Linked DNA regions of Danio rerio. The protein of the gene in region 2 purifies or fractionates together with the protein of the main gene of each other region. This does not show direct contact. Links are inferred from orthologs where the notes say so. Each region holds a gene or a part of one and is shown on either strand. Other genes may lie near its edges.

Evidence for each region. The genes of interacting proteins can lie anywhere in the genome.
Region 1: the proteins of tfdp1a (region 2) and e2f2 purify together in Homo sapiens (affinity purification with mass spectrometry; 3 studies listed by BioGRID and IntAct, with this or other methods). This does not show direct contact. The link is inferred for Danio rerio from reciprocal best matches to the Homo sapiens genes TFDP1 and E2F2.

The regions. Positions count from the first base shown.
Region 1 is NC_133192.1:28,749,438-28,754,549, reverse strand, and holds the start of e2f2 (transcription factor E2F2), read left to right. Parts: upstream 1-1,959; 5' UTR 1,960-2,431; coding exon 2,432-2,698; intron 2,699-5,112. UniProt on the Homo sapiens protein: Transcription activator that binds DNA cooperatively with DP proteins through the E2 recognition site, 5'-TTTC[CG]CGC-3' found in the promoter region of a number of genes whose products are involved in cell cycle regulation or in DNA replication.
Region 2 is NC_133184.1:36,641,237-36,646,565, forward strand, and holds the start of tfdp1a (transcription factor Dp-1a), read left to right. Parts: upstream 1-1,951; 5' UTR 1,952-2,039; exon of another isoform or gene 2,040-3,394; intron 3,395-5,329. UniProt on the Homo sapiens protein: Can stimulate E2F-dependent transcription.

The DNA of each region.
Region 1 (5,112 bases), on a different chromosome or scaffold from region 2:
TACATTTGGAATATACATTTAAAAAAAAACTTAATAATAATAACAACTATGAAGTTATGAATAATAATAATCACTATGAAGTTAAGTATTAATAGATAAAATAGCTACAGCATTTTAAGCACTATTTATTTGTGGATTAGCTTGTCGGGTGGTTATAAACAAACTTTTTTTTATCTACCAAAGCATTTCCTAAAAATTTAGAATAAAGCAATATAATATATATATATATATATATATATATATATATATATATATATATATATATATATATATATATATATATATATACGTATTGTTTTTATCAAATACCATTAGGAAAAAGTAATATGTTAAAAATTTAAATTAAAGACTGCCTATTAAGGCAAAGTATCAAGCAAATTAAAAGCTGGCCGGCACATTCAACTTTTCTCAGTCAAAATTTGGCAACTTGAATGATAAAAAAAAATATGCATAATGGTAATAATAATAATAATGATGATAATGATTTTTCTAGCTTCTCTTGTAAAAAAGTAAGATATTTCCTGAATAACAAAAATTGCCTATTTGTCATTAAAATTAATTTTTATAGGCTTCAAAATGTACTTTTGGTGCTTCACACCTTTCATTGATGAGTTTGTCTTTCAAGAATATGGTCCAAGATTTAGAATAACAGTTACTTGTAAAATGTTTTCTCTATTTAAAACAATACAGTAGGTCAGTGGTGAAAGGTGACTTCACTTACGTAAGATTCTTATGTTATATTATTAAGACCATCTGCTTGTCAATTCTATAGACCATTTAACCATACATTTACAATATTTTGTTAATAAATCCTACCGCATGCACAGCAATAAATACTGTAGTAGCTTTTATGTTTCACTACAGTAAACTGTGGTGCATTGCAGTACAATATAGGGTATTAGTGTTAGAAAAACTACAGTATTGTTTTTGTTTATAATGTTAGTTGCTGTATTACCACAGGCACAATATAATTGCCACAACAGATTCATTGAAGTACTTTACTATAGTATGGAAACTATATTATATTGATTGCATTTATTAAAATTATAAATTACGATAGTATTTTTTTTTTCATAAGGGATATCTGATATCCAATACAACTAGACTGTAAAGGCACTAATCCCATACCTAAGCAGGCCTATATTTCATTAAATAAATCAAATCAAACATTTCTCATTAGTTAAACTATATGTTCATTTTTGCCCCAAAGTACAGCTTGAAAGAAAAGGACTGCACCTCTTCTAAACACTGTAAGTCATCATTGGGCAAATAGTTTGGTGGGAGAGACTCAACAATCATCTGAAGCATGGCAGGGGTTACTCTTTGTGTAAAATGATAAGATCCTTTCAAGTGTATAGGTTCTTTTCTGTGGAGTTGTTTACGGCCTTTAAAGCTCTTGTTTTCTCTTTAAATCTCTTTTCAAACAGACAGGCCACGCCGAAGTCAACCATTTTTCCATTTAGTTGTTTAAAAACATTGACGTTTAAGATTAATTCATGACATTGATTCATTAGAAAACACAATGGGCCTGCTATAAAGCCATCCTTCAAAATCATCATTTATTTTATCAAGCCAAATGCTTTAATATTGAGGGTTTTATGGTGATTTTTCAAAGAACAAACCTATATTTTATGCGATATGACGTCATATTTGTATAAATGTCAAACGTATATTTGTGCTAAATCTAAATATGACTACAATAGGTCTGAATAGGCCAATAGGCCGCTGTTGTTTTGTTGTAGTTTGGGGGAAAATTTCCCTGTTCACAAAAGAGACTGAAAAGGCGCTGTCTCTTTAAGAGGAAGAACGCTGGGCGCCAACTGTTACATGTAAATATATTCAGAATACGAATGAGAGCGGCGTGCCAGCAGCCAATCGCTGCGCGCCTCCAACCGCGGGAGATCCAAATTTCGCGGGACGTAATTTGGCGCTAAAATAGCACTCCTCTGTTGAGCTGATGTCAAAGCAAAGCTTTTCTGCTGGAGAAGGATTACAGACACACAGGGACGTTTCTCACGGTCGCTGGCTTTACTCGATAACTGCGAGAGGAACATTTTGAAGCTTTACTTATCATTGAAAGGTAGTTTTATCAAGCATTGTGCGTGTAGTATATGTTTAAGTTATTTTCATTATAACAAAACAGAATAGCTTCTCCTGTGCTACAACAACAAAGGACCCTGGGATACTTTGTGCAACTCGGATGATTATATTTTCTTATTTTCACACGTAATTTATCTGCAACTTAACATTATTTATTATACTAATATTGCAATATACTATTATACAACTATCGCTTGTAGCATTAGCATTGTTTTAAGATACACGTATTCATTAACGCTTGATTGGTTCTGCAGTGAACTACAAACGCAATTTGCGTAATAAAAGAGTTTCTTTTGCGTCACTTTCGCGGGTTTTGCATTCCGTGCGCAAAATGATGCGGATACCCAGAGGGATTTCTCCTGCTTCGGGAAGAGGCGCAGGATCTGGGCTCTCGTGCCCGCAGAAGAAAATGTTCACCGCGATGAGGACGGACTTTTTCACCACGGGACTGGCGAGTCCACCGATGAATTCGGTACCGGCTGGATACTTCACTCAGATCGGGAACACGACAGCTGTGGAGCAGAGACCCAACTGTTTGTATGCGACCCCCCACGGGCCCGAGCCTAAGCCGGTGCGGACTTCTTCCGGGCGGCTACCGGTATGCTTCTTTCCACCCCCATTTCTGCTCATACTACAGCGCCATATATGCGAATGTTTGCCCTCTAAATCTTTGTTTCTCGTCTTATAACATGAATGTGGTATTTACTAAAACGCAGATACAGTCACACTGTAGTTCTCTGCTTTCTACAACACTAAAGCTTCTTTTTCTGGCTTCGCGGAAGGATTTTATCTGTGCCATCATCTCTGATGTACTGAATATCTGTCAGTTCCTCATAAATGAATTAAACAGGCCAGTCATTGGAGAGGATGGCCACAAACTTACGTTTATATTTAAGTCATGACATTAGGACAGACAGGACCTTTAGCCAAGAGAGTGTGTGGCAAGCCATTTATATCTTAAACTGCTCAACTTTCTGTTGTGTTTGTCTCACATTCAAAATAGCACATAAAATAGTGTTTTGCTCAGTCACAGTATTATTTTTACGTTCTGACAGGAGCGAATACTTGTGAGGAATAATGCATAGGTTAAAAATAATAACTATATTATCCCTGGAGAAATGGATTTTATATCAATAACTAATAGAAAAAGAAACCTTTTGTAGGCTCAGAAGTTATTAATCGATTTGTATATGATTTTGTTAAAGCCTTGTTAAATAACTTATAAATATCTTGTATTATTTGTGTTATTCTAAAACAATTGTTAAATTTCAGAGTTTGTCCAGAAACACTATAATTCCCATGATGCTGTGCAGACAATTCCACCAATCAGAGAACCACAGCTAATTAAGTAAGATATTTAGCCCAATCCACACTGTGAAGAATTGGGAATGATGTAATTGAGTCAGTTTCTCTATATTTTAAAAAAAACTTACCTGTACATACGACACAAATAAAGTGAATTAGTGATTTAACTTTCCAGTTGTTCAGATGAAGAAACAGGTTTAAAAGAAAACTTTTAGCACGCAACTCCATAAAACTGATATTTAAGTTGTCTAAAACTTTGCATGCATCATAAAAGACAGACGATATCCGAAATCGCCTACCACTCAGTAGGTACTGCATTTGAATTTAAACGTACTACTCGACCGTTAGAAAAGCCCATTCTATGCAGCATGAATGTAAGCAGTATGAATTGAACTCAATTGTACTACATCCACCATTTTGTTATCATCATGTGGCCTACCCACATCAGTTGTGTCTCTTTTGTTCCATTCATGAATTCTCTCACGAAGCATAATGGGATAGTGTAGCATCATTGGATGCGCACTTCAGAATCTTTCCGGAAGTAGTAGGTCATCTGGATACTTCTCGCAAGTTTTTAGCATTCTATGAATTCAGACACACTACTCCGCTCACATACTGTTTTTAGCGTACTATATAGTGTGGAAGTGTGCAATTTTGGACACAGTCTGTAAGTACATTACTAACAACCCCATTTTATGTAATTTTAAATATGCGGTCAAGGCTTATGAAGTTGTATTGATTGTTTTTTTGTTTTAGCTAATTTATCTATGGCAGTTCTGATGTTCAAACAATACATGTCAACTGTTTGAACTGTTTGAACTAGCAAATAAAGAAGTACTGGTTACCATTAAAAAGTAGTTGACATCAGAATAAACGTAGTGAAATACTTAGTATATTACACTAGTCTTATATAGGTAAAGATTAAAATTAAAAAATTTGCAATTACTTTTTGCATCACTTACTGATAGAAAAAACATGACGTGAAAACCATAACATTAGTCGACATTTGAAGTGGATCAAAACATTTCATCAAAGTTGAACTAAAACTGTGAACAGTTTTGAAAAAAATAACTTTATTTTGATCTATTTTAAATCTGTAACTACTGTAGTAAAGGAGTAAATGCTGGTTTGGCTTGCCATATGAGGGTTATTTCAGGGGGGAGGTAGCAGAAGCTGATGGTAGGGGGAAGGGTGCTTTACAGCTTCTGAACCGGACATTATAATATATGGTTCGGGCCTAATAGTAAAATGGGGGAAGGGTATTAAAAGGTAAACTTATCCAAATACAAAACCTTTTATATTTAGCAATCGATAAAACATGCTGAATGAATGCTCCCTTAAAGTCACAGCATCAAATGAACGAGGTTCATTCCACTCATCCCAAAACTGGTTATTCCTGTAGTTGTGTGGTCCTGGATTGTACAGCTTTTTCGATTATGTATTTGCTGTTGTAATTAACACTCCTCTTTTTACATGCACCTTCGTACACCTGTCTCACCATTTGTCCTTGCATGAGCTCAACCTGTTGAAAAGGTCAAGTAGGTCAGGGTATCTGCTTCAGGAAAATGCCCATCTCAAAGCTCTCTCTGTGTCACTCGCTGCTTCCAGCTGATAAAAAAAAGAATGATCACAGACTCACACTGTAAAATATGGGGCAGAGCTGATAACAGAATGGGCGTCTGCATGAAGGATTGATGCATATGCCTC
Region 2 (5,329 bases):
TCATTAATTCTTTTGTTCATAATTTTTCCTGATTCTTTCTTTAGGTCCTTTGTTCATTCATTTGTTTGTTCTTTCCTTCCCTCTTTCCTTCTTTTCCTTCCTTAGTTTGTTCAGTCCTTCCTTGAATTCTTCCTTCATTTTTTTAGTCTTTTCTTCCTTCATTAGTTCAGTCCTTCCTTTGTTCAGTTCGTCCTTCCATTTTTTATTCGTTCCATTTAGCGATTGTTTAAAGCTGTTTGGTGATTTCAGTCATCATACAGACGACATTCTTTTTTATTAAAGTTGACATTTATTTTCTCATCAGTGATGCCCAGTGTATTAAAAGTCTGTGCGTCAATGTGGGTAAATATTTTGAACATCTTCTGGGACATTTTTAATGCTTCCAAAGGGTTTGCTGCATTTAGAAAACGCCCACGTGTTGATGTTGTTCATTATTATGCGATTTACTTTCTATGTGTGATTTAATTGGACAAGAATCACAGAACTATTTTTTTCTACTTTAGCCAATTCCCATGGACAAGAAAGAAATAAAGTAGTGACTGCAGGTTGAAGCAAAGAAGTAAAAGTACCGATACTGCACTAAAAATGTACTCAAGGGACAGTAAAAGTACACATTTATAAAACTTCTTGGTAAATTACAATTTCTGAGAAAAATTACTCAATTTTCAGTAATTTGAGTATTTGTAATTAGTTACTTTACACCACTGCTACCTAACTGTGTTTATGTACTCTGTTTAGGTAAGAATTCGACATTTATAAATGTACAGCAGGGGTGCTCAAACTTGGTCCTGGAGGGCCGGTGTCCTGCATAGTTTAGCTCCAACTTTCCTTAACCCACCTGCCTGGAAGTTTCTAGTATACCTAGAAAGAGCTTGATTAGCTAGTTCAGGTGTGTTTAATTGGGGTTACACCTAAAAAATGGAGGAAACCGTCCCTCAAGGACCGGGTTTGGGCACCCTTGATGTACAGTATTTAATTCAAATAACTTCTTCAAATATACCCACCCAGAGACCTGAAAATGATAGTGACACTAAATGGTGACACCCTTTTTGAACACTTCTCCATTAGTTATCTGTATAAAACATACTGTATACAGTCCTGTCTGTGGGGGCAGCATGAATACTGATAAACATGTTACAGTCCTAAAACCAAAATGTGACCTAATGACTTAAAGTTTCAATTTTATATTTTATATAATGAGCAAATAAAATAGTCTAATTTATTATTTTGCTGATTTGTACATTATGATTTGTACTTCATAAATATTGACTTGTGCATAATACTAAACGCCTCTAAACGTATTTTATGTTGTTTTTTATACATCTTTTCTCAATTATTTAAAATGAAAACACAATTTATTAATCGTAACTTGGCTAACAAGCCAACAAATACACTTAAAGAGCTAAGAAAGAGTTTACCTTTTCCTTTTCATTTCCTAAATACAGTTAAATGGATACCAGTGCACTATTTTGCACCACAAACCTGTAATAAATTGATATGGTGTCTGTATCTAAGCTTAGGTTCAAATGTTTAGTACTTTTACAGTACTGAGATCTAAATAAATAAACAGGATGACTACCGTGCAAAGGGGAAGCGGTCTAATTGAAAATATAACCCGAGAAAGTGATATGAAAGCGGTAATTAGACATTTATACACTGGTAACAGATGTTCTTATTGTATTGGGTGGTATTAATAAACATATATTAGACATTTAATACACATGAACCATTTTTTATTCTCTTTATTTACATATATACCTACGCACGCTCCACCCTCAGACGCAGTGGGTGGAATCCAGTATAATCAACCAATGAGAACATGTCAACACAGCTTTTGTAGCGCTCCGTCTAATCAGAATTTAGCGCGGGCGTGTCTTTTGTAATACGTTTTTTCGACGTCACGAGCATCATCGTCCAATCGGGTTTCCCGTGGCGTCGACACCGCCAAGCTCAGTTTTACAGACCTAGAGAGGGAGCAGGTTCTACTGTGCGCTCCTATTCATTCTACGCTAGACAGTTGAAGGCGGATGCAACCGACCGTAAGTGAGACCAGGGGGGGCTCCGAGTCCACACAGACAGCTTTGAGCGATGTTTTCCGTTTTTATATATCACCAGTGCATAAAGAAGCTGTCTTTTATCTGCGCTTGTAATAATTTAACACAAAATAAGTGCGTTTGACAGCAAACTCGTTCTAAAACAACAGCGTGCGACTGTATGCAGTTGTACATCTGCTATCTGAGGCCGTTAGTCTGTTAACCATCAGTCCTGATTCATTATCATATAGGTGAAATATTAAAACTGTCTGTCTCAGATGGCTTGTGTTAGCCAACATGCTAAGCCATGTCAAGTGTTTCTGTCAGTGTAGTGCAATAGAAAATCGTCCCTGATCTTTACCGATCGTACAAAAAAGCATTGGCAGGCAAAACTGGACGTGTAATAAACAATAGTAAGGGGATCGTAGATTGATTATGATAAAGCTGTCGAGATGACCTCGATTTGAGTGGAAGTTAGCTTGACGTTACTAGCTCGCCTGGTCGCTAGCTTAACAGTTTTATTTTAATTCGCTTTAAAGCGTGTTTTAAAGACTTTTGAAACTAAAGAAACAGTTGTTATTGTTACTATCGCATAAGCACGAGGATTTTGTTCAATTAATAAGTAGTTTTTGACGACAGAAGGACCTGTCACCTCAGCTAGCATCACTGCATGTTGGCTTTGCTTTAGCAACCATGTAAAATGGCTGCCAGGCATTAAACCAAAACCATCCTGTTTGTTCAATTAGTTCATGAATGTTTGCAAATAATTATGTCCCATTATGAACGGCTATTTTCCGTTTTTAGAGTATAATCGGTTGTTTAACTTGTGTTGCTGTTGAAGCCAACGAATTCTGTGACCCTCCAGCTGAATAGGTGTTGTGACTGTCAACTGTGTTGCTTAATAATGTGGCCGTTTATATACATATATTTGCTTAAGATTATTCTTTATTAAACTCTATATAATATATATTGATAATTTTAGTTCTTTTATTTGGAATTATTTATAGGGATTTACAGTTTGCATGCGTCTTGTATGTGCATGCTTAAAACATCCGCATCCATTTTGAGGTTTATGAATGTGCCATGATCTAACAATCAAACATCTCCCAAGTGCAAGCTCGTTTCAAAAGCACGCTCATTCACCGCACATGGGTTTTTATTTTTCATATTATTTGATTTATTTTTGTTTCCTGTTTGAGAGATGGGCTTCAGACCTCCTCTTCCTCTGTCCTCTTGCTAACTGGCTATGCCAACAAAAACAGCACCTAAGAAGGCAAAGGGCTTCAGGACTGTAAGTTCAGAGGAAAGTTTACAGACTTCATTTCCAGATGGCCATTTAAGTCCGATTCGTTTGCAAAACGGTACGAGCACATGCACAATACCCGATCTGCTCGCATTTAAACACGAGAAGCACGTTTTGATCACAATTAGGACCAGGGTTCGTTGCAAAACGTGTTTGAAAGGCTGCTAGCTAACTGGGCTAACACGCTTTATAATAGTGCACACTGCTTCGATTGTGCATTATGTTTGGAGCGGAAAAAGTAAACGAATGAAGCAGATTATCGTTCTGCTTGATGCGTTTACACGCTTTTTTATTACTTGAGACACTTGATATTTTTGTATTTAAGGGCCCTTTCCTTTTGCAAGAAAAGTTACTCAAAACGACAGGAACTGTTGCATATGGATGTTTTTCAGGATATTGCACGAGGGGTTTGGGTGTAGGAGTTCGAGATTTGATGTTAAAGAGATGATACGATTCGTCGAGGTCTTTGTCTGGTAATAAAAGCTGCATGAGAGCTGGCGGGCCTCGTTTTCATCAACCATGACAGTGTTTCCAAACCTTGTGAGCGTCCTACCTAGACAGCATTTTAAAAATTGCGACTTCTTTAGCAAACACCGAATCGAACTAACTTTGAATTCACACAGTGCTTGAAAGTGTTTGGGTCTCATCTCAATACACTTGTGATGTTTTAATCCACATGTAAATAATATCATCAAGTAAAACATCTTGGCTAAACACTGCATTGAGATGTTAATATATAAACATTCGTGTAAACTTGTATTGTTTAGGCTTGTGCTAAAGATGTAAGGGTGTGTTCATTGACACTTGGTGGGTTTGGTTTGATTAGAATTATCTCTGGTGCAGTTGCTCTGTTGGATCATTTGAATAAGTGTGAACGCTGCCATGGTTGTGGACCAAACAAGCAGACCATCACTGCTGGAAAAATAGGTTTTGGCATGATTGCGATGCAACACAATATACTTCCTTGCAAACTAAAACATGTCACAATATGTGACCACAAAAAAGACAGTGCACTATCATACATATATTTTTAGAAGAAATACTGCTTCTTATGGTTGAGTACAGGTTTTGAAAAGGAGTCTTCTTGCAATCAAAGTTCTTAATGTCACAGTTTTGACTCCTTTAGCCTTCATGTTTTATAGGCTTTCCACTATAAGTGTGTTTAGCCCAGCACACAGCAATGTTTTGGATGTTCTCTTACAAAATATGTAATTTTTGTATTAAATGTTTATTTCTCTAACACTTTTACATTGTAGATTGTGTCAAAGCAGCTTAACATAGAAATTCTAGTAAATTGAAACCGTGTTAGTCTGGATTTCACATTTGAAGTTCAGTTCAGGGTGGTTTAAATTTTACTACTGAAAGTCCAAACACTGAAGAGCAAATCCATCAATGCACAGCTCCACAAGTCCCAATCCAAGCAAGCAAGCCAGTGAAGATGAACAAACTTCACCAATTGACGAAAGTGAAGGAAAAAAACCTTGAGGAACCAAGCTCAGCTGGGCTCCACCATTTCTTTTCTGACCAAACTTTTTTTTTTTAACAGTTTTTGTTTTAACAGTTAGCAAATTAGGACTAAGTGTAGCATTTACTATTTTGACAGACCACACAACCCAACCAAGAGATCTGAACTACAAATGTGAACACACCCTAAATATGTTAACCCTTTTAAATTAAAACCCTCTTTTGATGCCTAGTTATATCCCTGTGATGAAATTTAGATGCGTCAACATAATCAATTCATATTATTCTGTTGGGATGGGTGATTAATTATAAATTAATCTAAATCTACATTCATAAACATAAACATAAATGTTTCTAATTTTTCCAGGCTGTTTTTTTCCCCAATTACTTTCCCTAACGCATGTGGAGTCGCATGACCCTGCTCTGTTAAGGCTGATGTATACTTATACGTATGGTCCAGCGCACCTCTCAATAAATGTAACTACATGTTGTGACGACATGTAGCGCAGGCTTTGGGATTGGTCAGTTT